Tamandua tetradactyla: one gene and its partners. The protein of the gene in region 1 interacts with the protein of each later gene in a biochemical or structural test. Links are inferred from orthologs where the notes say so. Each region holds a gene or a part of one and is shown in the gene's direction. Other genes may lie near its edges. The genes, in order: RELA, SETD7, CEBPB and PRKCZ.

Region 1 (7,599 bases):
CCCTAAAGTGAGGTATGGAAAGATCAAAGGTGATGGTGGAGTTATACAGAGAATATAGGAATTAACAAATGAATATGAATGCTGACTCATTACATTGATATATGTTTTAGTCTCCAGTATCTTAGAGCAGCTAGAAGGAAGAACCTAAAATATTGGAATTGTAACCCAAACCTAACTCTGAATATGTTCTGCAACTAATTGTAGTGCTGTGCTTTGAAATTTATTGCTTTTTTGTACATACGTTATTTTTCATAAAAAAAAAAGTCGATTGTAATGCTAAAAAAAATATTTATGCCTTCTAGCCTCCTATATTCTGGAGCAGCTAGAAGGAAAAATCTGAGAGGATCATATTATAGCTCATGACAAACTCTGGGGTCTGTCTTGTAACTACTTGTTAAAGAGTGCTTTGAAAACTATTGCTTTTTTATTTCTTTGCTTTGTATGTATGTTATACTATACAATAAAAAAGTTAAAAAAAAAAAAAAAGAAAGAAAGAAAGAAAAAGAAAACCAGTGTAGCTGCTGCAGACCTCGAGAGCATAGATACACTCCCCTGTGACTTATACCTAACCCCCTGCTCATCACCTGTACCTGCCTTCTTTATGCCCGTGCAGAATTCTGTATTTATTATTCTCTTGATTATGTTTTTAAAGAAAAAATATCCATTTATATATGCATGTCTATATTACATTGTTTGGGCTTGCTAACTTTTATTTTTATGAAGAGGGCACCATATTATATGTTTCCCTTTGTTTATGTACTTTTTTCATTCAGTCTTATGGGACTAAGATTTATGCGTTTCATAGTTCATTCCCTTTTCATGACTGTATACTATTCTGTTACGGAGCTATACCACAGCTTGTGAATCTATTCACCCTGAGGATAGGCGCTCAGGTTTGCGGTGCTTTGCTATTATAAACAGTGTTGCTAAGAACATTCCTGGGATTGTCTCCTGTTGTCTATATATCCAAGAGTTTCTCTTGGGTGTATACCTAAAAGGGACTTCCTGGGTCCTGGAATATGCAAATAGCCAATGATACAAGCTAATGCTACAATGCGGATACCAAGTTACACTTCCAGTAGCAATGTGGTACCAGACCTCCTCCACTTGACATTGTCTCCAAGATTTATTGTCAGACTTCATTTTAATCAAATGGTTGTAAAATGGAATCTGGGTGCAATCTTAATTTGCATTTCCATATTACTAGTGAGTTTGACAAACTTCCCATATGTTTATTAGCCCTTTGTGTTTCCTCTTCTGTAAAATGTCTGTTTATGCCTTTGCCTCATTTTACCATTAGGCTGTCTTTTTATTTCGATTTGTAGGCATTCTTTACACCAAGCCTTCGACAGGTGCTTGTGCTGCAAATATTATCTCCCAGCTCATAGCTTGACTTTTCACTCTCCTTAAGGTGTCATTAAAAAAAAAAAGACAACTTTTTAGTATAAAATGTAAATACACACGAGAGTTTGAGAATAGCATAACAAGTTTCCATGGATTCATCATCCAATTACAATAGTTTAGAATTCATGGCTGCTCCTGTTACCTTTTTGCTGACAGCCCCACCCCCACTCCCAGGAAATCTCCATTTCAGGGATTATTTTTGAACTATATCCCAGGACTCTTGGGAAAAAAGACTACTATGTTATTATCACACCTAAAATAATATTAATAACAATCATTTATTATCATCAAATGCCGGGCCAGCGTTCAAATTTAGCCTGTTGCCTCATGAGACTTTATTTAATAGTTTGTTTATTAAAAGCATCCAAACAAGCCTTTCTCAGTGCCTGCCCAATACACCATAAACTAAAAAGGGATAGCTATATAATGTGTAAGAATAACCTCCAGGATAACCTCTCGACTCAGTTTGAAATCTCTCAGCTACTGAAACTTTATCTCATTTCTCTCTTCCCCCTTTTGGTCAAGGAGGCTTACTCAATCCATTGCTGTCGGGCCCTGGCTTATTCTGAGATTTCTGTCCCATATTGCCAGGGAGATTTACACTCCTGGGAGTCATGTCCCATGTAGAGGGGAGGGTAGTGAGTTCACCTGCTGAGTTGGCTTAGAGAAAGCGGCCACATTTGAGCAACTAAAGAGGTTCTCTGGGGATGATTCTTAGGCCTAATTTTAAGCAGGTTTAGCCTACCCTTTGCAGGAATAGTTTTCATAGGGATGCACCCCAAGATCGAGGGCTCTCCTATTGATTTGGTTGCCCCTCATTTGATTATTATTTGCATGGAATAATTATTATTTGCATACTTTCACTTTCAACCTACTCATGCCTTTGAATTTAAGGTGATCTGTTGTAAAAAGCATATAGTTACGTCACACTTTTTAAACTTTTTTTTATTGTGTACTATAACATATATACCAAGTAAAGAAATAAAAAGCAGTAGTTTTCAAAGCACTCTTCAACAAGGGATTACAGGAGAGACCCCAGAGTTTTTCATGGGCTACCGTACCATCCTCTCAGATTTTTTCCTTCTAGCTGCTCCAGAATATAGGCGGCTAGAGAGCTTAAATACTTTTTTATCATCACAATCGACTTTTTTTCCTTCTTTTTTTTGGGAAAAATAACATATATACGAAAAAGCTATCAATTTCAAAGCACAGCACCACAATTAGTTATAGAACATATTTCAGACTTTGACACGGGTTATAATTTCACAATTTTAGGTTTTCAATTCTAGCTGCTCTAAAATACTGGAGATTCCCGGTGCCTGCCCATGCAAAAATAAAATACTGGAGACTAAAATAGATATCAGTTTAATGATTCATCACTCATATTCATTTGTTAAATCCTATCTTCTATGTATAATTCCACCATCACCTTTGATCTTTCCATACCTCTCTTTAGGGGTGTTTGGGCTAGGGCAATTCTAAATTTTTGCTATTGGAAGGGTCTGTCACTAATGTGGGGTAGGGAGATGGAACTATCTGACGTTCTGGAGAGGCTGGGCTAGGTTTCAGGACTTAATTGGACCAGGGACCCACCTGGAGGTTCTAGATTTCTGGAAAGTTCCTCTAGTGCATGGAACCATTGTGGAATCTTATAAATTGCCCTGGGTGTTCTTTAGGATTGGCTGAAATGGTCCTGGCTGGGGGTTGGCAGGTCTACCTGAAGCTTGTGTAAGAACCACTTCCAGAGTAGCCTCTTGACTCTATTTGAACTGGGCCCTCTAGCTAGGTTTCAGGATTTATCTGGTCCAGGGACCCATTTGAAGGTTGTAGGTTTCTGGAAAGTTATTCTAATGCATGGAATCCTTTATGATGGTTTTCACTGTACTATTTTTAAAAGTATAAATATATAAAAATCAAATAAAAGATCATGCCTAAATCAATGATGATTGCATGTCATTAAGTAAAGATTATAATTCATCCATTCTTCAACCTGAAATCTGCCTCCGCAAAAAAAAAAAAAAATCAAAACAAAAAAAAACAGACTTTTCTAATCAGGGACGCAAGAGAAACCGAAATGAGTGGGAGGGGTGGCAACTTCATTTTCACTTTTCTCTTCCTGTTTTTTCAGAGCCTGGGAAAGCAAGTCAGAATTTCCAGTCTTTTTCAATTCCCAAATGATTCCCGAATTTAGAACCCATTTAAAGAAAATAAGTTTTTCTCCATCTGGAGAAGGCTCCACCGCCTGCTTTGGAACGTCCTCAATCTGGGACGGGGGGGCGAGGGAGGACCTGGGGGGTGGGGAGGGCGCCCCAACCCCAGCCCCTTCCCCTCCCTGCAAGGATGCGCTTTGGGCCTGGACTTGGAGGGGGGCGATGGCATGACAATGGCATGGCTTGACTGATGGCTGAGCTGCCCCCAAGCTGGGAGCTCTGGGAAGGCAGGCGGGCCCCTACGGGTGCGAGGGGACCCCCGGGGACTTAGGCAGCCTGCTCCGGGCGTCTCCCGCCCACTCATCGTCCCCGAGGCACTTGAGCCGGAGAAGCGACTAGCCCTGGCCTAACTCGACCGCGGCCGCCCGCGGGAGGCGACGCGACCCTCGGCGCCTCAGTTGCCCCCTGGGCGCCCCGGGGTCCCGGCCCGTGGGGTGGGGGAGCCCGGCCACTCTCCTTTCCCTCCACTGCCTCTGCTTGGGGTGGACAGGAACTTAGCAGGTGCCTCTGCAGGTACAACCCCCGAGAGGCACCTTGGGTGCTCAGGGGCCGCGCGGGTCAAGTCCAGCGCGCGCCTCGGGGGCCGAGCAGGCCCGGGCCTTTCCCGGCGCGGGACGGGCGGCCGCAGCCCTGCAGCCCTGGCCGCGCTCCAGGCCGGGCGCGGTGACATCACCGCCCTCCCCCGAGCGGCGGGAGGGGGGCCCCGAAATCCCCTAAAAAACAGCGTGAGTAATCGCCCGGCCGCCCTCCAGGCGGGGCCGGGACTCGGGAGCGAGCGGAGCGGCCGCGCCCTCCCCGGGAAGCCTCTCGGACCCGGGTCTCGGCGCGGCGCGGCGGCGGCGGCGGCGGCGGCGGCGCGCGGCCTCCTCGCCCCCCGGTAGGCGCGCACCCGGCTCCCGGGCCCCCGCGCGGGGCGGCGGTGACGTAGCGCGCAGGCGCGGCCGGATTCCGGGCAGTGACGCGGCGGCGGGCGCGCGCGGCGCATTTCCGCCTCTGGCGAATGGCTCGGCTGTAGCGCGCGCGCCGCGGGCCCAGCTGCGACCCCGGCCCCGCCCCCGGGACCCCGGCCATGGACGGTGAGGGCGCCCTCTGACCCCGCGGGGGCCCCGCGGTGGGAGTCTCCGTGCCCCCCTGGCCCCCATTCCTGCGCGGGCGGGTGCCACGCAGGGAGCGGCCCGGCCGGATGGTGACGCGGGGCGGGCCGGGCGTGAAGGGGCCTGACTCAGTTTCCCCTCTGGGTGGAAGGGGGGGGCTGGACTCAGTTTCCGTCTTGGGTGGGGGTGGGGGTGGGTGTGCGGGGCCCTGACACAGGTTCCCCCCAGGGTCCATGGGGGCAGCGCTGACTTAGTTTACCTGTTAGAGGAGAATGTAGCTGACTCAGGTTTCCTTTCAGGAAGAGGGGTGGGGGAGTGCATCCTCTTAATTTTGGTTATGAAAGTAGAGAAGGCCTTGACTTAGTTTCCCTTAGTCAAAGGAGGACACCGTACCTAGTTTTCCCTCAGGAAACAAATGTCTCTGGACCTCTTCACCCCACCCCATAGTCTCCCTACAGAGTCTAGAAAGCAGGCCCTGACTCAGTTTCACTCCAGGGGAACCTGGTGAGGATGGGAAGTGGCTTGCTGACCCTTGTCTCCCTCCCCTTTCAGACTTGTTCCCCCTCATCTTCCCCTCAGGTAAGTATACTGTCCTTTCTCAATGGTTCCAGGTGGGGGTTGGCAGGGGGGGAGAGGGTGAGGGGCAGTGGGGACAGTGGCCTGCATCTCCCCAGCAGAGCCAGTCCAGGCCTCTGGTCCCTATGTGGAGATCATTGAGCAGCCCAAGCAGCGGGGCATGCGCTTCCGCTACAAGTGCGAGGGCCGCTCAGCGGGCAGTATCCCAGGCGAGCGGAGCACGGACACCACAAAGACCCACCCCACCATCAAGGTCAGCAGCCAGCCACTGGTTCCCAGAAGTGGAGTGGGGAACACAGATTGGGCGCTAGGGAGAGGCTGCGGAAGTGGTCTCCCTTCAGGCCTCTGTGCCCTCTGTGTCTGGGAGGTGGGATTGGAATTCTTGGGCCTCTAGGTGCTCTCTGTACTTTGGACAGATCAATGGCTACACAGGGCCAGGGACAGTTCGCATCTCCCTGGTTACCAAGGATCCCCCTCACCGGCCTCACCCCCACGAGCTTGTGGGGAAGGACTGCCGAGATGGCTTCTATGAGGCTGAGCTCTGCCCGGACCGCTGCATCCACAGGTGAACTCCCCGCAGGACCTGGGAGTAGGAGGCGATGACGGGAAGATGGGAGGGTCTCGTGTAGCTGTGACAGTCTCACTCCTTTCTATACACAGGGCAGAATTCCTTATTCCTTTCTCTGTCCCCAGGTCTGCAAAGCAGACTTGCTTTGTCTTGAAAATATTTTTGTGGGTTCATTCCTCCAGCAGATGTGGGCTCCTTGGGGCAGGAATGGGGCCCTAATCATCTCTGTGGCTGAAAGAGCAGGTCCCTTGGTGTTACACTGCTTGTGCTGAGAAAGAAAAACCACAAACCAGCCATCTCCCCTGGAGCTCACATACCAGGAGACAGAGACAGGCTGTAAATAAATATACAAATAAATAAGCAAGATAGTGTTAGAGTGATCATTTCAATGATGAAAATAAAACGAAGTAATTGGCTGTGAAGAATAACCTGGGGCAGGGGTTATTTCTTTGGATTGGAAGTCAGGCAAGGCCTCTCTGGGCTAAGACTTTGATGATGAGAAAAAAACTGAAGCAGGGAGAGAACATTCCAAGCAGAAAGAACGAGTGCAAAGGCTTTGAAGTGGGAATGAGTTGAGTGTGTTTGTAGAGACAGAAAAGGGACCCCTGAGGCTGGAGGAGCTAGGCAGGGGCCAGGTACCACGGGGCTTGTCAAGCCTGAGGTCAGGAGTGTGGTTTTTACTGCAGCACGATGGGAAGCCGTTGGACCACAGAGAGATGGTCTGGTTGGGAGTGGGGGGCACACTGAATAAGGCAGGAGGGTCTAGACTCTGCTGGAGACAGTAGGACTGATACCGGGGCGGGGACTCAGCTTTCAGAACCTTGGGATCCAATGCGTGAAGAAACGAGACCTGGAGCAAGCTATCAGCCAGCGCATCCAGACCAACAATAACCCCTTCCAAGGTAAGGGGTAAGGGTGCGAAGGCCAAGGGCTTGTTTGGAGCACCCCTACCCTCCATTACCTTCCTGAGGCCACCTTCCCTGCCTTTCTCCCTCATTGGCCAAGACTCACAGGATGCACGGGATGTCGCTGCCCGTTCAGTGCACACTCCCATTTTACCACTGGGAGCACTGAGGGGCATGGCATCAGGGTGACAGGTAGAGCCAGTGATGGGTCTAGAACCTTCTCTTCCTACTCCTCTGAGTTCCTCCTCCTATTTCCCATGCCCCTGATCAGCCCTCCCCGCCGAGAGCTCCCTGTCCCCAGCCCTGTCCCCCGGCTCTCCTGACCACCTGCTTTTCTGCAGTCCCCATAGAAGAGCAGCGAGGGGACTACGACCTGAATGCTGTGCGGCTCTGCTTCCAGGTGACAGTGCGGGACCCGGCAGGCAGGCCACTCCGCCTGCCGCCCGTCCTCTCCCATCCCATCTTTGACAACCGTGAGTCACCAGGGAGCTGTGGGCAAGGGAGAGATGGGTCTGGGGAGGAGGAAGAAGGTTGGGGTGGGTACAGCCTGGGATGGAGCTCGGGCTTCTGTCTGTCAACGGGTGCATTTGTCATCTCTGTGCCCCACTGGGGGCTGGCTAGGAGACACGGCAGAGGAGACCTGGAGCTGCCCTCAGGGTGCAGCTTCCAGGCCTGGCAGGGAGTCAGATGCATTTTCAGTATCCTGTGATGAGGGGCTGGAGGGGACAGGCTCTGCTCCCACTGGTAAGGGGATATATGTGTGTGGACGGGGTTGGTATTCCATCTATGAAAACAGGCTAGGCATTTCGGGGTAAAAATCTTCCTGCCAACATGGGGCATGA
Region 2 (7,522 bases), on another chromosome or scaffold:
AAGCCTAAGAGTCACCCCCAGAGAACTTCTTTTGTTGCTCAGATGTGACCTCTTTCTTCAAGCTGACATGGCAAGTGAACTCACTGCCCTCCCCCCACCCCTACATGGGACATGACTCCCAGGGGTGTAACTCTCCCTGGCAATGTGGGACAGAAATCCCAGGATGAGCCAGAACCTGGCATCAAGGGATTGAGAAAACCTTCTTGACCAAAAGGGAAAAGAGAAAAATGAGAAGAAATAAAAGTGTCAGTGGCTGAGAGATTGCAAACAGAATCAAGAGGTTATTCTTATGCATTATATAAATATCCCTTTTTAGTTTATGGCATATTAGAGTGGCTAGAGGGAAGTACTAGAGGGAAGTACCTGAAACTGTTGCGCTGTTTTCCAGTAGCCTTGTTTCTTGAAGACGATTGTATTGTGATAAAGCTTTTACAATGTGACTGTGTGATTCTGAAAACCTTGTGCCTGATGTTCCTTTTACCTAGGGTATGGACAGATGAGTTAAAAATACGGATAAAAATAAACAAACAATACTGGGAACAAAGGTTAAAATAAATTGGGTAGATGGAAATACTAGTAGTCAATAAGAGGGAAGAGTAAGAGGTATGGTATGTATGAGTTTTTTCTTTTTTCTGTTTTATTTCTTTTTCTGGACTGATGCAAATGCTCTAAAAATTGGTCATGGTGAAGAATACGCAACTATGTGATGATATTGTGAGCCACTGATTGTACACCATGTTTGGAAAACAAGCAACGTTGGCATGTTAAGATCTATCAGTAAAAATATTTTTTTAAAAAACTGAGATGATCCAGTTTGCCAGAGTTGCCCTGGAGTCTTCCCCTTTCCTCTGTCTATACATGGACCCTGGGGCTCTTCATGCTCCATTTAGCTTTTCCCCAGGAAAGGTGGACAGAGAAAGTTTGGGCTTAGAAAGTATGTAGCCCAACCTCGTCATTTACAGATGGGAAAACTAAGGCCTAGAGAGCTTAACTGCCCAATGCACAGCTAGTGTTTGGTGGAACCCAAACAGATAAGGTGAAAACTCAAACTGGTGAATTTGGGGAATGGGGAGAAGCTGGCTAAGAAGTGAGCAGTGCCAAAATAAGAATTGATGCTTATTTAAAAGTTCCTTCATCCATTTTGCCTCGTCTCCTTAATGGAGATGTGAGCAAACGGAACAAACCAAAACCTGAACACCAGCCGCTGATCTACCAGTTACCTGGGGGGGGGAGCCCCCCGAGACTCCCTTTGGCTGAGCCCCTGGCGAGTACTTCCTCCTGGAAACACGAAACCCGGAAGTCTGCCCGGCCCCCTCCCGCCCCTACCAGTAGTGCAGAATGAGGGGTCAGTAGCAGCCAACACTAACGGAGAAGTTCTACACCCACCAGGTTTCTGCAATGTACTTAATATACACAGCGATAAGCTGACAGAATTGTTTCCCCTAAACGTAGGAAGGCGCATATCCAGCCTGTAAAAACATATTTACCACAAGAGTTATATCAGTCTTGTAAGTAAGCACCAGCCTTCTCCAGGGAAAGACAAGGGTGGTAAAATGAATGAAATCAACTTAGTATTTTGACTGCTTGCTGTGGGCGAAGGGGGACTTACGTTTCCCAAATAGAGTGTGAAGAGAGGGGACACATCTTTCGATGCAGGGACGCTAAGCCGAGGCAGCTTGGAAAAGTCACTGCTCGGTGTGTGCATGGAGGCACGCCCACCCCCAGGAGTTCCTGGACGTCCTGTGCAGGTGCCTTTTCTCCCTGGCAGGGCCTGTTCTGGCACACTGGGATATGCCGGGGTTAGGGGCTGAGCCACCGCTGCGGCCACCGCTGCGCCACTGCCGTACATTGCTGCTGATTAAGAGTTTTATTGATTTTCCAGCCCATGACCACACTGGTGGGGACAGACGATGACAGAGGGAAATGGTGGGAAGCCAAGTGGAAAGAGGGTTTATGAAATGAGCTGTCAATGAAGAAAACTGTGGGAAAGAATGTGATGGAAGCCAATCTGGGGCCAGTCGATGTGGGAAAGTAGAACAACTCAGAAATGTTCCTCAGGCTTGAGCTGAAACAAAGCGCTCTGCCAAAACACAGGAAGAGAAACCGGTCTGTGAGAAAGATTCAGCTCTGTTTATATAAAACAGAATATTCCTATCTGCTGAATCCTCACTGACAGTGCTTAACTCTCTCTCTGTACCAGGCACTGGATTGGGTTCTGGAGCTATAAATAAGACTCAGTCTAGAGAGAGAGATTGAAAATGCAGACGCAAAGTGATTTGTAAAAATGCAAGTGTGTCTTAAGGAAGTCATGAAAACATTGTGCCTAAGCTTTGGGCAGGGAGCCAGCAGGAAGGAATGGTGAGGGAAGTAATTCTTGCCATGGCCCACTCTCCCAGGAAGACCTCAATCCCCGTCTCCCTCTGCAGATCCAGCGGTGGCCTGCTTCAGCCAGGAGGGCCATATACAGGTGTTTCCAAAGCGGTAAGTAAAAGGGAACACTTGGCCAATCGAACACACAGTACCTGCTGGGAAAACCTCACAGCACCTAGGAGGGGTTGCACAACTTGCCTCTGAACCTAAATATGGAGGCAGGATGCTTGTGACATAATAATCGCTCCACGCCGACCCCACCATGGGCCGGATGCTCTGTGGTGCAACTGCGTGTTTGGAGGGAGATTTCTTCCAACCTACCGTCCCCTTGCCTTGGCCTCCTTGAAGAAAGGAATTCTTTTTGCTGCTTCCTTTAGCTTTTGGCATCTTCTTTGCCCCTGAAAATAAACTGGAAACTTAGGGAGAAAGACGAGCGTCTGCTGGGTTTTTGCACACAAGTGTAATACATAAGGGAGAGGTGATAAATACACGCGGAACTTCAGACAGTGTCGCCTAATGCAGAGGGCTTCAGAGCCGTCTAGCTAAAACCAGCCAATCTCAGATTAGTCTAACCTAAGCCAAAGGACCTCAGAGTGGTATACCCTAAGCTGGAGGGAGCTCACGGGGGTGGGGGGGGGTGGGGGGGGTGGACGCTAAGCCTCTTACTTCCTGCGGGAGGAATTCAGGCTGGCAAGGGTGGACCCCCTGGTCCAGGGCCCTTCCCTGTCTTTCTAACACAGCCAAAAGGGACTGAAATGCCTAGCCGTGCATGGGGACAAAAGTCCTCGGCATTATTCCCTTTTTCACAGAGAAAAGAATGAATTCAAACAAAACAAAAATACGCAATACTCCATTTAAAAAAACAGAACAAACAAAACTGTGATTTAAGCAGAGAGCTAAAAGCAAGGCGTGGTCTTCCACGTGCTGGAAGTATTTTGAAATCCCCAAAGTCTCACTCATCCTCCAGAAAACAAAATGGAACTTTCTTTCTTTGCTCTCCCACCTCCCTCCCTGCGCCCCTGCGGTAGCTGTGCTGGCAGATGCCCAGAGCTGCACGCTGGGATTCCACGGTACACTGCGTACATTTGCACCCATTTAACCAGCTATTTACGGCCGCCCTTTACCGCCACCTTTCCAAGACAGCGCCATAATGACATTGTCGTTATGAAGCGGGTGCCCACTGGTCTTCTCCATTGAAGACGCCCCAGCCTGCGGGGTGGTTGACACTTGGGAGAGACAGTTGGGGCCATCACCCGTACCGCGAGGGCCACGAGGGGGGCGGGCGCGGGAGCCGGAGGGTCCTTCCTCGTTAGCTCCGCCGGGCGGTCCATCTTCCATCCCCACCGCGGCGGGGAGGCACCTGCCCGCGCGGCGGCTTGTTTCCTGCCTGGAAGAGACCCCACTGCCCTTTGGGTTGGACGCGCCTCCGAATCATCCGAGGCGCTCGGGGGTCCCGAGGAGGGCGGGGCCTGGCCGGGATGGGGTGGTCCCCGCAGGCCGGCGGAGTCGCTCCGGATGGCACCCGCTCCAGTCTGGGGAGCAGTGTCGTGGGACACCTGCCCTGCCGAGCGTGCAGCCCTCGCGCGGCTCCGAGGGCAAATGGGGTGAAGTGGGGGGAGAGGGCGAGAGGAAGTCGAGGCGCCAGAGCGTCCGAAACGCTTCCTTTGTTTCCCCTGCGTTTCGGAGGCTGTCCCGAGGTGGGGGGCGGCGGGCACCCCTTGCACGGCCAACTTCCAACCTGGCCCCCTGCTCCGGCTGGGGGTCCGGAGCTCTAAGCGCCCCCGAGGGCGGGGACCCGGAGGGCCGCACGTGCAGGGGAGAAGCCCGCGGCGCCCAGGACCGCGTGGCGCGCTCGGAGCTCGCCAAGTCGCGCAGAAGCCAAAGGCAGACGCCGAGGGGCCCGGGGCTCGGCCCGGCGGCGCAGGGGGAGCGGCCCGCGAGCGCCTCGGGTCTCCAGGAGCCTTACTTCTGGGAAGGGACCGGGAACCGTCAATCAGCGAGGGAGGGAGCGCACCGGCGCGAGGTGATGTCAGCGGATCAGCTGCTCGCTAACAAAGAGGGGGGATCGCAGGAGAAAGTTGCAGCAGCGGCAGCGGCCGCAGCGGCACCCCGGGGCCTCGAGGGCGAGGGGCCAGCGGGCGAAGGGAGGGGGGACGGTTGCTGCCGCAGCAGCTGAAGGCCAAGAAATTGAAAGGGCTGTAGGGGGAGGGAGTGCCAGCCAGCCCGACTGCTCCTCCTCTTCCTCCTCCTCCAAACTCGCAGGGCTCGGCCCCAGCGCTCGCTCAGCCGCCGGGAGCACCGGGAGGGACGGGCGGCAGCCGCGCGACCCCGAGCTGGCCAGGGTCCCCAGTCGCCATGGATAGCGACGACGAGATGGTGGAGGAGGCGGTGGAAGGTACAAGCCTTTCTCCGAGGCTGGGGAACACGCAGCGGGAGGAGTGACGGGCTGCGGCCGGCGCGGCACCGGGCCCCGCGGCTGCCGCGGTTCGCTCGGCGGGTGGCCCGCTGCCCGGCTCGGGCGGGGGCCGGACAGCCACGGCCGAGCCGCCGGGAGCGCGCGCTGCGCGGCGGGGCGCGGCAGGCGCAGGCCGGGCCCGGGACTCGGCCGGGCCGGGGCCCCCCTGGGAGGGCACGGCTGCTCCCTCCCGCCCGGCGGCCGCAGCCTGCAGTCGCCTCGGAGTTGCGAAAACCTGCCGAGCGCTCTCCCCTGGCTTCCTCCTTTCGCGTCTGGGGGGCGGGAGGGGGGGCGTTGAGGGTGCGCAGGAAGGGCCCCCCAAGAGCGGTGGTCCCCGCCGAGCAATCCCACTGCCCCGTTTAGGACGGCGGCGAGCCTCGCAGGTGGCCAGCCCTTTCCTTCCGCTCGCCCCCACGCCCCGCAGCGGCCGCGGCCGGGTCGGGTCCCCTGGCGCAGCGCACTGGGTCGGGCCAGGCACGTGGCAGCCCCGGCCAGGGCGGGCGCTCCTCGGGGAAGATGAAATCATCGCAAGGCAAGGGACGGCGGGCCCGACCCGGGGCTCGATCGCGCGCGGGCCGGGAGGCGACCGGCCCTTCCCCTCTGCTGCCCCGAGCGCGAACCCGGGCCAGCCGCCCCTCCCCCGCCTGCTTCCCAACCCCGGGCGGCCGCGCCGTGCAGGCGCGTCTCAAGCCCAGACCGAAATTGCTGGGTGACACTTAACTTTCTGAATTCCATGCAGTTGGCTGTGTGTGATATCACTGCCTCGGTGTCGTGTTTCTCCGCCCCTTCCCTTCCTGCGCCCCTCCCCCGACTTTTCTCGCCACTTTGTTTTGCTGAGTTTCTCCACCTCTTTTTGGCCGGTTCTGAAATCCTTGTGGAACGTTATACAATCTCGTTGTTTGTGTCGTGAGCTGTTAGGATTTTGTAACAGCGAATATTGGAAAATACTCTTTAGCCTATTTATTTGGTTCTACCCCAGACAGGACGTCGTGATGTTTTGCAATGTTGTGTGGTATTATTCCAGAATATTTTAAACTAGGCGTCTAAGCAAATAATTTTTAGCTATCGGCTGTATCTGGCTTCTGTCTAATCTGTGTAAACAAGTAAAGAAAAACAAACAGTAAAGAAAAACAAAGTGGCGACATTGTGCTAATACACACGAGTACATAGTTGTTTCCTCATTGAGAGTAAATCGATTTTTATGTTTTTATATAAGATAATTGAACTCCTTTTGCAGTGTTTCCTAGGTCTTAGGATGAAATTAAGTAGAATAATATTTCTGAATTCTCTAAAAGATGTCATTCTAATGTAACTATTAAAATTTCTTACTTCATCTAGCTTCCAGGACAACTTAAAGAATTTTTTAATTAAAAAGATTCACAATGCTGTGAATCCACAGAGCTATTTACCTCTCTAATAAATAAAGTGAATGTGGGCGTTTATTGGGTGGCAGAGACATTGAATTGACCCATAGGAAGCCTTATTAGAATCTAAAAGTTATTGGCTTCTTGTGCCTCCCTGATAGGAAAGAAAAATGAAAAAGGCTCTTCTCAAGTTGTAAGGGTTTGCTGTCCTTGGAAGTTTAATTTTACTTGTGAAAATGTAATGTAAACCCTTGGGCACTGGAGATGCTCCCCAGGCTAAACCATCTTCCCCTTTGAAGCTGTTTAGAAACAAAGTCAAGTTGTCCCAGGGTCCTCTGCCTCATTTGCAGAATGTAATCTTAGAAATGTAGCCTTAGAAATGTAGCATTGTTGTTGCTGAGATTGTCCAGTGGATTGGAAGGTTCTTACTAGTTACATAGAGGGACCATATATATAATTGTCCAAATTAGAACATTCAAAAAAAAAAAGAAATTAAAAAACAAACAAAAACAAATTGAGAATGAGAGAGGCGCTATGAATGATTATGCTGGGACAACGAGGTAGAGCTTGAATGTGGGGGCAGTCTGGGACACGTGGTCACTCAGCTGTGCCTCCCTGTAATAATATAATGACAAGTGTAACACAGAGTCTTTGAGAGTCCTTGGGAGACCCTCAAGCTCCAGCATGCAGTAAACTGTACCCCCCAACTTTTTCTCCAGCCACTCTTGGGCTTTTTACTGCTGGGTATAATGCACTTTACTTCTCACCAACTGACACGTGCATGGGGGAATGTTGTAAACTACTTGTTCCTTTTTCCTAAAGAGAACCTAGTCTGAAGATGTTGCTGTGTAAGTACCACGTAGCCTACCTCTCTCCGTGAACAGAACCTCTGTTCTCAGTAGAGAACATACTAAACAGAATCTCTGTTCATTGTCGTAGCTATTATTATCAATAAAATAATTATATTATTGTTTAGTTCTTATGATGTGCAGTCTCAGTGTGGTTTCACACATTTTCTGTCCGGTTACTATTATGAGATGGGCACTAATAGGATCCTAATTTTACAGAGAGGGAACCAGACCATAGAGAAGTTAAGAACTAATCCAAGGGCACTCAGCTAGGAGACAAGACAAGCTTGGAGCTTCCAGAATTTCATTGCACCATACCAGTTGTCTCTCTACATTATAAAAATTTTAATGGGCGAGTCAAGTATATGAAAGAGATGGTACCTGAGTTTGGAAGAGCAGTTAAATATTACACCAGTTTCATTATCACTGTAACTCTTTAGAGGTTGGTTATGATAGAGTTCCGTGAGAAAAGATTTGAATAAACA
Region 3 (7,169 bases), on another chromosome or scaffold:
AGACGAAAGGCAGGCCGTTACGGGGGGATGACCCGAAGCAGAGGTGTGGACACAAGGCTGCGGCAGACAGCTTCCTGGACTCCAACGGACAGCGACGTCCAACGTGTCCATGGTGACCTCCCCCATCATAAGGGGTTGCAGGTCTCCCTCCCGCCCAGCCTCGGCCCCCAGGTAACCACATGTGCAGCCCCTCCCCTCGACCAACAGAATGGGACAGAGGTGGGGCTGCGTGTTTTAGGCTTAAGCCTTCAGAAAGCCTGGAAGCTTCTGCTCCTGTGCTCTGGGGGATGTCAGCTGCTATGTAAGGTGTACAGTGGCCAGGAGACCACGTGCTGTGGTCACATGGAGAGAGCACTCAGAGAGCCATAAGAAGAGGCCACGTGAAGTCCATACAGAGACACCACATGCAGAAGCACCAGTGCAGAGGCCACGTGAGTCCCTATGGAGAGGCCATGTGAGAGATTCCTGTGGAGACACCACATGTGCAGGGGCTGCAGGTGAAGCCACGTGGCGAGGAAGAAACTCCCCGTGGGAAAGGAGAACCGAGGAGCCAAGGAGCCGATGTAGATGTGCGACCAGGCAGTGTCAGCTGTGGAGCTGTCCTGCGTGGATGCCACGCCTGGGACGAAGAAGCCCCCTTGGGTGTTCCCGCCTGCAGACCCCACGGCGCAGAGAGGAGCCGCTTCCGCTGTGCCCTGTCCCAGTGCCTGCCCATGGGCCAGGAGCACGTGAACTAGTTGTTGCTTCAAGCCCCTAAGTTTTGGGGTGTCTTTTTACACAATATCCAGAGCACCCCAGCCCTAGGCCTCCACTGGTGCCAGTTTCTCGTGCCCCTTCCCGTGGGAGTATCTGTATCGTCAAACAGCCTGCTCTTGGCTCTACCCGCTTAACGACAGACCTTAGAGACTGTTCTAGACGTGCTGGCCGGACTCAGCCCGGACCACGAGGCTAAGGTCAAGTTCATAAAAATTAAATGCAATGTGCTGGCCACATTTCAGGGGCCCCTCGCCTGTGTCCGGTGGGCATGTTCATTTCTTCAGTGGCCCATTTGTGGGCATCGGTCACCCGCTGGACTGACTCTGACCCAGGCCCCGGCGACGGAGCCGGCACGCCGCCCCTGCAGTTCCGGAGGCGGCCACCCGGGGGCAGCACGCACCCAGGCACGTCTCGCTGGCTGCTTCGCCGCCCTCAGGGAGGGAACCCCGCTTGGCAGATGGGGAAACTGAGGCCGCAGAGATGAGCATGGTGGGGGAAAATCACGGACACTAGAATCAGGGGATCAGCCTTCGCGATCCTGGGGCCTCCCTGACCTCTGCCTGCGTCCCCAGTACCTGTTTGTGACCTCTGGGGGTTAGAGATCTGATTTGGCCACGCGGGCGGCAGGCCCAAGGTCCAGCAGAGGACAGCGAGCCCCCGTGCAGGTGAGGGACGAGGCCCGGAGGGGACACCAGGCCTGGCCAAGGTGCCGCGTAGGGAAGGGCCCCGCCCACCAGCCCCAGCCCCACTGAGCCCCTAGCTAGCGGCAACCCCCCCAGCTGCATCCCGCACCCCCCTGCTGATGTCCGAGCCCCTTGCAAACCCTTTCCCCTTCTCCCTCACAGCTACGGCCGGTCCCCTTGGGTCAGCAGCCTCGGTCTTTTCCCCCTGAAAATGGAGCCAAGGGAGTGGGGGGAGGGGTCTCAAGGCAGTGGAGGCCGTCAGGCGGGCGTCCGTGGGGCCCTGCCCACAACTTCTGCTTTTAAAAGTGTAGCTGGAAATTTGAATTTTGATGTGAGGTCTGCTGGACTTTAAATGTTGGCCACAAATCCACTAAGAAACACAAAACACCAGCACCCACCGCGGGGCCTGACGGACAGGGTTGAGGTGGGCCATGGCTGCCCACAAAGCCGGTGCAGGGCGCAGCTGGGCAGGGCGCTGGGGGGGCTCCACCTGGGTCCCCCGGCCCCACAGCCACCCTGGTGGGTGCCGGTGGGGGTCCTCCTGCCCCCCGTTCCTGGGGGACCAGTGGAGCGGTGCGGTGGTGTAGCTGACCAGGGCACCCGCAGGGCAGGCTCGACCCGGTGGGAGCTGCCACGAGTTCAGCGGCGTGGGTGGGGGAGGCAGGGAACAAGGGCTTTGGTGGTGAAGTTTTTCACGGAGGCCAGCGGGCTAAGAAACCCGAGAGGGCTGAGTCCAGTGCTTTGGGGCTGGTCCCCAGGTTGCCCCCTAACTCTCTGTGTGACCCTGGGTCACCCTTCTCGGCCTTGGTTTTTCCATCCAGAAAATGGGGCTCGCATCATGCAACCTGTTACAGCTTACTACAAACCCAAGGGGAAGGTGAGACTGGAAAGACTGCAGCATTTCCCACCCTTTCATGTGACCCTGAATAGGCACCCTTAGCTTTGCTGGGCCTCAGTTTCCCTTCTGTTAACTGGAGGTGTTCCCTTCTGTCAACCTGCATCCTACAAATTATGGGGACAATTAAATGAGCCAGTATATGCAAGGAGCCTAAAACGTGGTTCTGAGAGGGCAGCAGATTGGCCTGAGGACACACAGTAAACCTCCAACCAGCTGGAGGCCTTCCAGGCCCCGCACCTCCCCAGAACCCTGAGGGCCAGGGGTCTGAGAGAGGAGCCCCTGCCACATGCCACCCTGCCCGGCCAGTGGAGGCCCCTGCTTCTTCTCAGTCCCCTTCATTCATTCATTTGCATTTCTTAGGCACCTACTGTGTGCCCGGCATGGTTCTAGACACTGGGGGACAGCAGTGACCCAAAAGACAAAAGTCCCTGGTCTGCAGGGGGCTGCCATGGGGAGGAGGTGGCGGGGACAGAAAGCACGATGGGCAGGTGAGAGAATTTTGAAGGTAACCAGAATGGTGAAGGAAATGAAACAGGAAGGGGTGAGAGGAGTGATGAGAGGTGGGGGCTTTGGACCAGGAAGTCAGGGAGGGCTTTTCAGAGGTGACTTTGAGGTGGGACCTGAAAATAAGAAGGAACTGCCTTGGGCAGAGCTGGGCAACAGTGTTCTAGGTTCCAGAGAACGTGGCAGAAGCCCTCACTCATGGGGCAGTATTGAGCATGCTGGGCCCAGGAGCCAAAGCTGCCACTGCCTGCAGACAGTCTTGGGGGAGGGGGGGTGGGGGTGGGGGTGGGGGGGTGGGGGTGGAGGAAGATCCAGGAAGACCAGTAAATAGGCTACTAGGATAATGGCGGCTGGAGTTAAGGGCTGTGAAAGGTTACCAGGGGATGCAGCAGGGAGGGCCTCTCGGAGGCGGTGGCCCTAAGCTGAGCCTGAGTGTACCAATTTGCACTCAGGAGCCTGGCTGGGCGGCTCTGGGGAAACCACCGCCAGCCGCGGGGCCTTGGATCCCTCCCTGGCTCAGAGGCTGCTGGGAAGGCACAGGGAGCCAGCAGGCCCATGTTTCACCCCCTCCCCCACCCGCCAAGGGCGCTCAGAGATGTCATTTCTCCAGCTCTAGGGGGCGGAGGTCACTCAGCTCAGCAGATAACGCCTAAAGTTGAGCAATGCCCGCCGCTGGGCCAGGGCTGGGGTCAGTGGGACGGGGGTCAGCCCCAGGCAGGCCGAGCTTCTGCTGGGGCGGCAGGGATTGGGAGAGGCAGGGGGTAGGCCCAGAAGTAGGGTCAGTGAGGGTGAGGGGCCCCTGAGCCCCTCAGTGGGGCACCCCGCCGGGACCACCTCTCCAACTGTGGAGTGGGGGCAGCAAAGCGCCCTCCCCCAGGGTTCTTGGGTGAAAATGTGAACGCCAGACCAGGCGCACCCTGAAAATGCGGAGAGACCCCGCTCCATCCCACGTGGCCCACAGCGAGGCCCGACCTGATCACCACCGCCACCCCCAGCCTCAGAACCAGTGGCTTTTGGGCCTCTGGGATTGGCAAAAAGGTCTTAGGGCGCTGGACGGGGGGGCCCTTGTTAGGGGGTGAATGGGGGACAAGAGGCTGGGGGCTCGACACGTGCCACGCCCCCTCCGGGCTTCCCCTCTTGGTGTCCGCTCTGGGGCTCAGAGCAGCCTTATCTTGGGGACTCTGGGGTGGGGACAATACAATTAATCAAAGAAAGGACAGCTCAGAGAAGGGAAGCGACTCTTCCAAGGTCACTCAGTGTGTGGCACAGCATCCCCTGCACCCCCTCCCCAGTACCCAGGTGGAGGTGGAGTATCCCGGGACGGGAAGGTGGAGTGGGCGGGGCTGGGGGGACCCCACCAGCCGGGTCCTAGCAGCCGCAGTGCCGCGAGCAGCAGCCACCGGCGCGAGCCCCGGCTCCTTCCCGCGGCCGGGGCCGGGGCGGGGGGCGGGGGGAGCAGGTTGGGGGGCGGGGAGGCGCCCGGGGAAGGGCGGTGGAGAGGGGGCGCCTCTCCAGGGCCCGAGCGGGGTTCGAGGTCTCCGGGGCCGGCGGGGCGCGCTCCTCCGCAGCAGCGCGCGGGCGAGCCTGAGGCCGCGGTGTCTCCCGGCAGGGGGCAGGCGGCCGCCGCGTTTGTAGCGGGGGAAGACGCTCCCGGCGCCCCCTCCCCGGATTCCGCCCCCCTCTAGCGTGGCCTTCGGCCCGGAGGGGGCGGTCCGGGGGCGGGATCGCGCCGCCCCGTCTCGCTCCCAATCGCGGGGCCGCGGGGTCCGGGTGGGCAGGGGGCGAGGCCGCCCCCCGCGGCCGGGAGCCCCCCGAAGGGGCGTGCCCGGCCCCAGGTCGGGCCGCCGCGCCCCGCCGCTGCCCTCCCGGGGGTCTCGGGCGGCTGCGGCGGTGGCCTCCGCGTCCCGGCGGCGGCGGGAGGGGCCGGGGCGGCCGCCAGGCGTGACGCAGCCGTTGCCATGGGCCGCCTTATAAATAACCGGGCTCGGGAGAAACTTTAGCGAGTCAGAGCCGAGCACGGGACTGGGAAGGGGACCCATCCGAGGGTCCAGGCGCCAGCCCCCACACCAGTAGCGGCCACCCCGGCAGCGGCGGTAGCAGCGACAGCGGCGGCAGCTCGGAACCGGGAGGCCGCGCCACCTGCGGGCCGGCCGGAGCGGGCAGCCCCGGGCCCCCTCCCCCGGCACCCGCGTTCATGCAACGCCTGGTGGCCTGGGACCCAGCATGTCTCCCGCTGCCGCCGCCGCCCGCCTTTAAATCCATGGAAGTGGCCAATTTCTACTACGAGTCGGACTGCTTGGCTGCTGCGTACGGCGTCAAGGCGGCCTCCGCGGCGCCCCCCGCGCCCTCCGCGGCCAGGCCCGGGCCGCGCCCCCCCGCCGGCGAGCTGGGCAGCATCGGCGACCACGAGCGCGCCATCGACTTCAGTCCGTACCTGGAGCCGCTGGGCGCGCCGCAGGCCTCGGCGCCGGCCACGGCCACCGACACCTTCGAGGCGGCTCCGCCCGCGCCCGCCTCCGCGCCCGCCTCCTCCGGGCAGCACCACGACTTCCTCTCCGACCTCTTCTCCGACGACTACGGGGGCAAGAACTGCAAGAAGGCTGCCGAGTACGGCTACGTGAGCCTGGGGCGCCTGGGGGCCGCCAAGAGCGCGCTGCACCCCGGCTGCTTCGCGCCCCTGCACCCGCCGCCGCCGCCGCCACCGCCACCGCCGCCGCCCGCCGAACTCAAGGCGGAGCCGGGCTTCGAGCCCGCGGACTGCAAGCGGAAGGAGGAGGCCGGAGCGCCGGGCGGCGGCGCCGCAGGCATGGCGGCGGGCTTCCCGTACGCGCTGCGCGCCTACCTCGGCTACCAGGCGGTGCCAAGCGGCAGCAGTGGGAGCCTTTCCACGTCCTCGTCGTCCAGCCCGCCCGGCACGCCGAGCCCCGCCGACGCCAAGGCGCCCCCGGCGGCCTGTTACCCGGGGGCCGCGCCGGCGTCCTCGCAGGTCAAGAGCAAGGCCAAGAAGACCGTAGACAAGCACAGCGACGAGTACAAGATCCGGCGCGAGCGCAACAACATCGCCGTGCGCAAGAGCCGCGACAAGGCCAAGATGCGCAACCTGGAGACGCAGCACAAGGTCCTGGAGCTCACGGCCGAGAACGAGCGGCTCCAGAAGAAGGTGGAGCAGCTGTCGCGCGAGCTCAGCACCCTGCGGAACTTGTTCAAGCAGCTGCCCGAGCCCCTGCTCGCCTCCTCCGGCCACTGCTAGCGCGGCCCCCGCGCGCGGCCCCCCGCCGCCAGCCTCGCGCCTCCGGGAAGCGCCCGCGCGCCCGCCCCCGCTCCGGGCGGCGCCGGCAGAACTTTGGCACTGGGGCGCTGGGCAGCGCGGGGAGCCGCCGGTCGTTTTACTAGTTTATTATATCTAGCTCTCTCTATTTTTTTTTTTTTTTTTTTGGCCAAAGCGACCGCCCCCCAGACGGGGCGCCCGCCCCCCGGCCCTCCTGGAAGGGGAGACGTCCGTGTGTCCGGATGAACGAGAAACTCTGCTTCTCCCGCGGCTCCGGAGTTGATGCAATCGCCCTAAACATGGCTGAAGGCGTGTGTCCGCGGACTGACGCAACCCACGTGCAACTGTCAGCCGGGCCTGAGTAATCGCTTAAAGATGTTCCTACGGGGTTGTTGATGTTTGTTGGTTGGTTTGTTTATTTTTTTGGCCTTTTTTTTGTATTATAAAAAAAAAATAATTCTATTTCTATGAGAAAAGAGGCGTCTGTATATTTTGGGAATCTTTTCCGTTTCAAGCATTAAGTAAGACACTTTTAATAAACTTTTTTTTTTGGAGACGAGTTGAAAAAGCCTTTTGGGGGCAGTAGTTGGTTTTGGATTATTATTCACGTTTTGATCTTTCTTGTGGGTTTATTTGATTTGGCTTTGTGCTTTGCTGCTGTGGGGGCGTCCTTGTGTGCGTGTAGGGGGCTGCTGATGTTATTTTTGGCTTCTTGGAGGTTGGGTGTGGGTGTGGCAGCTGGGGTTTCTCCTCCCCTGCTGCACCCCAAGGTCTGTGCTTGGAGATGGGGGCGCCGGCCTGGGGGAGGAGTGCTGGGTCAGGCATTTTGGAGTGACTCAGTGCCCCTGGGTGCTGAGGACCCGTGGCTAGGAGCCCTGCTTGGGGGGTGGGGTGGGGTGGGTCTCTGGGGAGTCAACTTGGTCCTGGGCAGCAAACCTGGGTTTGGGGGGGTCCTTGAGGTCTGTGGCCCACACACTGTCTGGAGGCGGGGCAGGCGGCCAGTGGCTGCAGGAGGAAGGGGCAGACTTTGAAGGTGCTGTGGGGTGCGCTGTTTGAAAAT
Region 4 (6,843 bases), on another chromosome or scaffold:
GCTGGAAGGAAGCCTGTGACCTTCACAGGCCTGGAGCCCAGAGGAGACAACCTAGAAACTGGCACACATGCACACGATACACACCACATGCACACAGACACACACAGATGCACAAACAGGTACACTCCAACACACACAGACACACACGGATGCACACACAGGTACACACTGACACACATACACACACAGATGCACACATAGGTATACACCAGTGTACACACAGACACACACAGATGCGTGCGCACACACAGGTACACACCGACACACACACACACAGACATGCACACAGACACACACCGACGTGCAGACACACACAGACGTGCACAGACACACAAACACACAGACATGCACACAGGTATGCACTGACACACACAAATATAGATACACACATATACACACATACATACACACAGACACACACACAGACATACACACACTGATGCACACACAGGTACACACAGACAAGCACACAGTACACACTGATGTGCAGTAGGTACACATCTACACACACACAGAAACACACAGACACACTGATGTGTACACAGGGACACACAAATGCACACACAGAAACACAGATGCGCACACACACCAACACACACACAGAAACACCCACACATATGGATACACACAGACACACACAAATGTGCACACACACACACACACACACACCCGGAGCCCCGAGGCCCCGACCTTCCTCTCCCGCCTCCCACCAAGCAGGACCCCTGCCACGAGGAGGGTGGGGCCTTCCTCTGTCCCTTGGCCACCCCCAGGAGGGACACAGGCCTGCACAGCCTCTCTGCCCCGCCGCAGTGCCCTCCGGGGCTCCCCACACGTGGCCCAGCCGTGGCTCTATGTCTCCCTGGGACGTGCTGGCTCTCAGCCGGCCCCAAAATGGGTGACTCTTCCACCAGCCCCCCCACGGAGATGACGAAGGGACGAGTGTGAGCGGTCACTTGGGCTGCCCGCGCCAGCCCGTGATCATGACAGAGAGGAAACATCTGCTCCCACCCGCGCCCGGGCCAGAGACTGCTCAGCGGCGGTTCTGGGCTCTTCCTGTGCCTTGGCTCGGGCCTGCGGCCCACGGGGTCCTCGCTGGGCCCTCTGGCAGAGCCGCACCCCGAAGCGCCGGGCCAGGGGGCGGGGGGCGGACCCCGTACAGGGAGGGACACTGGAAGCCCCCAGGGAGGCCCAGCGACCCTCTCGCCTGAAGGATCGCGGGGTCCCTGGAGGGCCCCCCCAGAGAAGAGCTGAAGGTGAGCCCTGTGAGGGCACGCCAAGGCCCGTGGGGGGAGGGCACACCTTCCCCCACCCCTCCGCTCCAGCCCTGCACCTCCAGGAAGGGCCGGGCCGGGCTGGGCGGGACAGGAAAGGACCCCCGGTGGTCCGGCATGCCAGGAGGGGAGGGCGGCAGGGGGCTTCCTGTCTAAGCCTCCCAGGTGGTGAAGCTGCACGATCAGCTTGTGCCACTTTTACAACCCTTAAAAAAGAAGGATGCCTTTTTTCTGTTTTGAAATAATGGGCGTTTGTGGCTCGGAAAGCACGAGGTCTTTAAGGACAGACTGGAAAACACAGGAGCACAGGGCTTGAGAGCGTGAGAGCAGAGAGCCTCCGCCCCTGGCGCCCCACCCTCGCACCCCTGTCCCGCCTCCCCGGGTCCAAGGGTCACCCTGGGCCAGGGCCGGGAGGCCGGCCATTACCTCACAGCCTGGGCATGGGCCCGCGATGCCATCTGACAGGCTCTGGGGCGGGGTGGGAGGCGAGGGGGAGGGAGGGGACGGGCACCCCCCTCCAACAGGGCAGGAGGCTCGGTTTTGGGGTGTGGGCACCGAGGAGGGGAGGCAATCACAGCGGCCTGCCCCCCAGCAGCCAGCTTGTGGCCCATCCATCCTGGGCTTCACCCTGGGTCCCTCTGGGGGGGGCCGTGGGGGCTTCATTACCAAACCCTGTTGGTTGCAGCAGGAGGAGGGGGCCAGAGGGAAGGGTGGGGAGGCACCTCCAGCCCGCAGGGAGCTCATCCAGGTGCACCCTACCCCCCGCGACCCACCCAGCCCCCCTGCCAGAGCTGTGGGGCGCAGCGTCCCACCCCACCCAGGCTCTGGGCCGGACATGGCCAGGGGAGGCATAGGGGCCACAGGGGGCCTCAAGCCAGAAGATATCAGGATGGGGGAAGGGAAGGGGAGCCTCCCGCCCAGAAAGGAGTCTCGTCTCCCTGCCCTGCCCTGACCCCCGCACGGAAGAGAGGCTTCGGGGTCCCTCAACCTTCTGCTGTGGTGCTCAGGTGTGGACTCCCCTTTAAACTCAGCCCGGGGGGGCCCCCTAAACCAGCTAGCAGGGGGGGTGAGGGGCCTGCTCCAGCCCTCCCCTGCTGTGATGGGGGCTGGTGGTGCCTGGGGACCAGCTTCAAGGCCAGAGGTCCCCCCTGGCAGGTGGGGAGGTGCCGGCTGAAGCCAGTGACCGGGAACCCACGGCCCACCTCCCACCCCAGCGAGTGTGGCGCTGCTCCTCCCCATCCCAGTCAGGGGCAAGCTGGGTGGCCTGCCTGGCAGTGGCAGCACCCCTGGCCAGCACACGCAGCTGCTCGCTGTTCATCCCTGTGCCCTTGGCACACTGCCCCTCACTCAGTAACTCTCTGCTCCCCTCCACCCCACTAACTGTGGGTGCCCTGAGAGGACAGCCACCATGCTCTGGCAGGAAGGTGGGGTACAGACCCCCCAGAAGTGTGGGCAGCAGCCTCCTGGAGCCGACGGGGAGACGCTCCTGGCAGAGGGAACAGCAGAGGCAAGGGGGCAGGGGTGGGGGCAGCAAGAAGGTGGGGAAGCTGCGGAGGAGAGACAAGAGCCCGGGCGCCTGCAGGGCCAGGGGTGTCACCTCTGGAGACGCGGGCATCCTGGAGGCCCCCTGACCCACGCTGAGGGCAGCACACTTGGGGGCTGCTGCAGGTCGGTGCAAGCGCGGGTCAGCGGGTGGCGGCAGGGGCTGGATCCCGGGATCTCTTCAAGCTGGGCCGGCGGGGCTGACGCCGAGGACGGGGTGTAACGGGTGGCGGAGTTAAGGGTGACCCCAAGGCTTTGGGGGGTCCGCGTTTCGGGGTCAACCTTGCCCGGCGGGCGCAGATAAGCCTTCCCTGCAACGGGCTCCGGGATTCTGGAGGTCGACGTGTGGGGGGGCCGCGCCCGGGAGACCCGCCCAGCCCGAACCTGGCCGAGCCATCCAGTCCCCTCTGCCTCAGGTCGTCGCCGGGCCCGGGGGCTTCGCTGCGCGCCCGATTCCCGCCCGTGGACGATGAGCGGCTCGACGCCGGGGTCCAGCGCCGTCGGGGTCGGTTCCCTGGGCCTTCGGGACTGGCTAGCGGACGGGGGAGCCCGGGAATTCGCATTCCACCTTGAGGGCCGCTGCCGCCAGCCCGCTTCCCGCACAAGGCGAGCGCGGGGAACCCCGAGACCCCGCCCGAGACCCCGCCCGCGCCCCCGCGTTGCTCCACAGAGCCGGGCGCCTAGCACTCCCATTGGCCGCAGGTGAGGCGGCGGCGGCCCGACAGGTAGTCCGCCCCGCGCCACGGCGATTGGGCCGCGCCCGCGGGGTCCCGTCGGGGATTGGCCCAGGTGGCTGCCCCGCCGGCGCCCTCATTGGCCGCAGGTGCTGCCCCCTCCCGCCCGGCTGCGCCGCGCCCCGCCTATTGGCCGCACGCTCTCCGGGCCCCGCCCCGCTGCCCAAGTTCGCGCGGAGTTGGCCGGGCCGGCGCGGGTCACCCGCGCGCTCCCCGCCGCGTTCCGCCCCGGCCCCGTCAGGTGTCCCGCCAGGTGTCCGGCAGGTGTCCGGCAGGTGTCCGCGCCGTGGGCCCGCGCGTCCGGGACGCGGCCCTGAAGGACGGCCTGGCCGAGCGCGCCACGCCCAGCAGGCCGGGCCCCAAGATGGACGGGAGCGGCGGGCGCGTCCGCCTGAAGGCGCACTACAGCGGGTGAGCGCGCCCGGCCGGCCCTCCGCGTCCCCGGGAGCCCGACGCGCCCTCGCCGGGAGGGGCCGCGCGAGCCTGCGGGCGGCCGGGCCGGGCCGGGGCCGGGGCCGGGGCCGGGGGCGGGGCGGGCGGACCGGGGTCGCCGCTGACGCAGGTCCTGGCAGCGCGGCCGGGAGGGAGGTCGCGGGACCGGGGGACGCAGCTCCATGGAGCTGGGCAAACTTTGGCAGCTGGAGAAGAAGCGAGTTTCTCAACTTTCGCCCTCTCGCCCGGCTAGGGCGCTCCGCTGAGAGGGAGAAGCCGCGCCAGGCCGCTGCGGCGGGGGCCGGGGGGGAGGGCCCCGGGGAGCTGGGCCGGTCCCGGAGTCTTGAGGGAGAAGCGCGCCCGGGCTTCCATCTCCCTGTCTGTGAATGGGGCGAGTGGGCACCTCCCGGGGTGCAGTGGTCGGGAGCCTGGACTCTTACCGTCGCTGGTCTCAGGGCCGCGAGCCCGGGGTGGGTGGAGGGGGCTCGTGACCAGATGACGGGGCTCCCGGGTAGAGCGCGGGACTCCCGCTCTCGCCGCCCGCGGGTGCAGACAGCGCCGAGGACGGCTGGAACCCCGGCTGGGACCTGGCGCTCCCCGTTGGTTCAGCACCTGTGGGGGCACGGTGTGGGGGGCGGCCGCCTCGCGAGGCCGCGGCTCCTCCAGGGCAGCGCCCCCCACCCCTTCCCTCCCGGAGGCGGGTTCGGGCTCCACCCCATGAGCACAGCATCTGCAGCCTTGGGTGCCTGCTCCTAGGTCCCCTGCAGACCCGTGGTTGGGGGAGTCAGTGGTGGACCCCGAGGGAGGAGGGGTGTGTGGGGTGTGGGCTGGGGTTCAGGGGTGCAGAACATCTTGGCTTTCTGCGCCCCCACAGTGCCGCTACTTGCTGGCGCCCCAGCTGGGAGGGGCCACCTCCAAATTGCACAAGTGGCATTTGAAACCCCCTGCCTGGGGTGTGGGGACCCTCCAGCTGACCCCCAAGAGGAATCTAGCAGGTACCTCCAGCGCCAAGCAGTGGGGGTCAGGTGGAAGTTGGAGGTCAGAAGGGGGGGCTCAGGGGAAGATCCGAGGGTGCTGGGGGGATGGGGAGTCCCCACCTCCTGGTCCCCGAGGGAGCGTTTTGGTTACTGGCAGCACAGATGTAATACAACCTGCTGCCTCCAGTTTCACTCCTGATAAGGCCGCTCCCCCCTTCCTTCCCTCCACCTTTCCTCTTCCTCCCTCTTCCCGCCATTGCCCAGCCCCCACTCCTCTTCCCCTCCCCTCCTGCCTCCACCCCACCCTTCCCTTCCCCTCTGACTCCCTCCCTTCTGCCACTCCAGCCCCTCTGGCCCACGGAGGGACCTTCTCTAAGCCCAGCCCCTCCCTGGGAGTGCCTGGAAGCTCGGGACTGGGCCCCCAGGAGACCCAGTCCACCATGGCCATTCCTGAAGGGCCCCCCAAGACTAGGGCTTGGTGAAATCGGGGTGGGGGTGGGGCTGGTGAAATCCCAGCGCTCAGAGGCCACCCCTGAGAGGACACTCGCTGCCCGGAGGCATGGTCACTGGACCTTTCAGACAAAAGCAAAGACGGGGTTTCTCTAGCACCCCACGGGCGAGGGCCCCTCCTGTGTTTCATGGGCTTTGTGCCCGCTCCCACAGAGGCTGACGGGGGTGGGAAGGGGTGCAGGGTGTCCACCACCTGCCCAGGGGGAGGGCCTGCTTTGTCCAGCACCTTGGGGCCAGCTCCTCAGCGTCCCCGCATCCCAGGAATGGCCGCTGGCTGGCTCTCACCCTGTGCAGAAAAGTTCTGTTCTGGAACTTTCCCCAAGGGCCCCTCTGCGTGAAGACCTCGCCGCAGCCAGGGTGGGTGCTGTGACCTGTGGCAGTGGGGGGCCTACAGGCGCCCGCGCCTCGACAGAGCTCCTGTCTGCTCAGCAGGCCTCAATAGAGCTGCAGCTGCCCCAGCGTCGCCGCCCAGGGGCCAGTGACTGGTAGAGCAGACAGGGAAGGGGCAGCAGGCACAAGGGCCCCGTGGGGTGGTGTTTGCTGTGCCGTGTGGGGCCTGAGTGGGGAGCCTCCTGGCTGCTGACCGCAGGGGTAAGAGTGGCAGAATGCCTCGGGGGGTGGGGCCATTGGCCTGCAGGGTGGAAATGTTAGGCTGTGGGACCATTGGCCTGCACGGTGGAAGTGTTAGGCTGTGGGGCCGTGGAGCTGGAGGTACCCCGACTTGTCTGGGCTGGAAGTCATGGTCACGCCATCAGAGGTGCTGGCAGAGCCGTTTCCCAGAGTGGGCTGAGCCCGAGGTGACCATTGCTGGCCCTCCGGAGGTGTCCAGGTGGTCACTCAGAGAAGAGGCTGCAGGTAAGAGCAGGGAAGTGCCCTTTGACCTGGACCTTGGGGTGGTGGTGGGAGGAGCAGGTTGCAGGGGGGAGGTGTGTGAGGAGGGGCTGGTGGTCCGCTGGTGGGGCCGTGTCTGCACGGGCCTGTGGGGGCGGCCAGCCTCGCCCACATGTTGGATGGTGTCGTGCACCCATCTCCTGCGTAGCCCACTAAGTGCACCCCCTTCTTGCCATCCCAGGGGGCTGTTTTGGGGGGGTCACCTGCTCTGAGGATATGGGGCCCCTTGCCGCCCCATATTGGGGAGCCCACCCCCCTCAGTGCTTCGGATTCTCCGGCTGTGCACACGTGCCCTGAGGGCCGTTGGCGAGGCAGGTGGGTTGGGAGAGTGAAGTTTCTGTCTCGCTGCTGTCCCTGGAGTGGGAGCCGTGCTGTTGGGGGTGGCACCTCATGTCCCCTTCAGAGCTGGGTGGCATAGCCCAGGCACCATGGGGGAGTGACCTAGGGGTGAGCTTTGCAGGGGTAGAGGTTTAAGGGTGAGTTTTG

The links.
Region 2: of the proteins of RELA (region 1) and SETD7, one has a biochemical effect on the other in vitro, tested with the Homo sapiens proteins (3 studies listed by BioGRID and IntAct, with this or other methods). The link is inferred for Tamandua tetradactyla from reciprocal best matches to the Homo sapiens genes RELA and SETD7.
Region 3: the proteins of RELA (region 1) and CEBPB form a complex in vitro, tested with the Homo sapiens proteins (2 studies listed by BioGRID). The link is inferred for Tamandua tetradactyla from reciprocal best matches to the Homo sapiens genes RELA and CEBPB.
Region 4: of the proteins of RELA (region 1) and PRKCZ, one has a biochemical effect on the other in vitro, tested with the Homo sapiens proteins (2 studies listed by BioGRID). The link is inferred for Tamandua tetradactyla from reciprocal best matches to the Homo sapiens genes RELA and PRKCZ.

Annotation. Positions count from the first base shown.
Region 1 is NC_135335.1:8,858,746-8,866,344, forward strand, and holds the start of RELA (transcription factor p65), read left to right. Parts: upstream 1-4,593; 5' UTR 4,594-4,683; coding exon 4,684-4,690; intron 4,691-5,260; coding exon 5,261-5,287; intron 5,288-5,382; coding exon 5,383-5,537; intron 5,538-5,700; coding exon 5,701-5,849; intron 5,850-6,662; coding exon 6,663-6,754; intron 6,755-7,098; coding exon 7,099-7,230; intron 7,231-7,599. UniProt on the Homo sapiens protein: NF-kappa-B is a pleiotropic transcription factor present in almost all cell types and is the endpoint of a series of signal transduction events that are initiated by a vast array of stimuli related to many biological processes such as inflammation, immunity, differentiation, cell growth, tumorigenesis and apoptosis.
Region 2 is NC_135348.1:28,466,776-28,474,297, forward strand, and holds the start of SETD7 (histone-lysine N-methyltransferase SETD7), read left to right. Parts: upstream 1-4,516; 5' UTR 4,517-4,725; coding exon 4,726-4,765; intron 4,766-7,522. UniProt on the Homo sapiens protein: Histone methyltransferase that specifically monomethylates 'Lys-4' of histone H3. H3 'Lys-4' methylation represents a specific tag for epigenetic transcriptional activation.
Region 3 is NC_135327.1:2,604,236-2,611,404, reverse strand, and holds CEBPB (CCAAT/enhancer-binding protein beta), read left to right. Parts: upstream 1-4,759; 5' UTR 4,760-5,035; coding exon 5,036-6,091; 3' UTR 6,092-6,663; downstream 6,664-7,169. UniProt on the Homo sapiens protein: Important transcription factor regulating the expression of genes involved in immune and inflammatory responses. Also plays a significant role in adipogenesis, as well as in the gluconeogenic pathway, liver regeneration, and hematopoiesis.
Region 4 is NC_135328.1:222,906,036-222,912,878, reverse strand, and holds the start of PRKCZ (protein kinase C zeta type), read left to right. Parts: upstream 1-3,843; 5' UTR 3,844-3,911; coding exon 3,912-3,958; intron 3,959-6,843. UniProt on the Homo sapiens protein: Calcium- and diacylglycerol-independent serine/threonine-protein kinase that functions in phosphatidylinositol 3-kinase (PI3K) pathway and mitogen-activated protein (MAP) kinase cascade, and is involved in NF-kappa-B activation, mitogenic signaling, cell proliferation, cell polarity, inflammatory response and maintenance of long-term potentiation (LTP).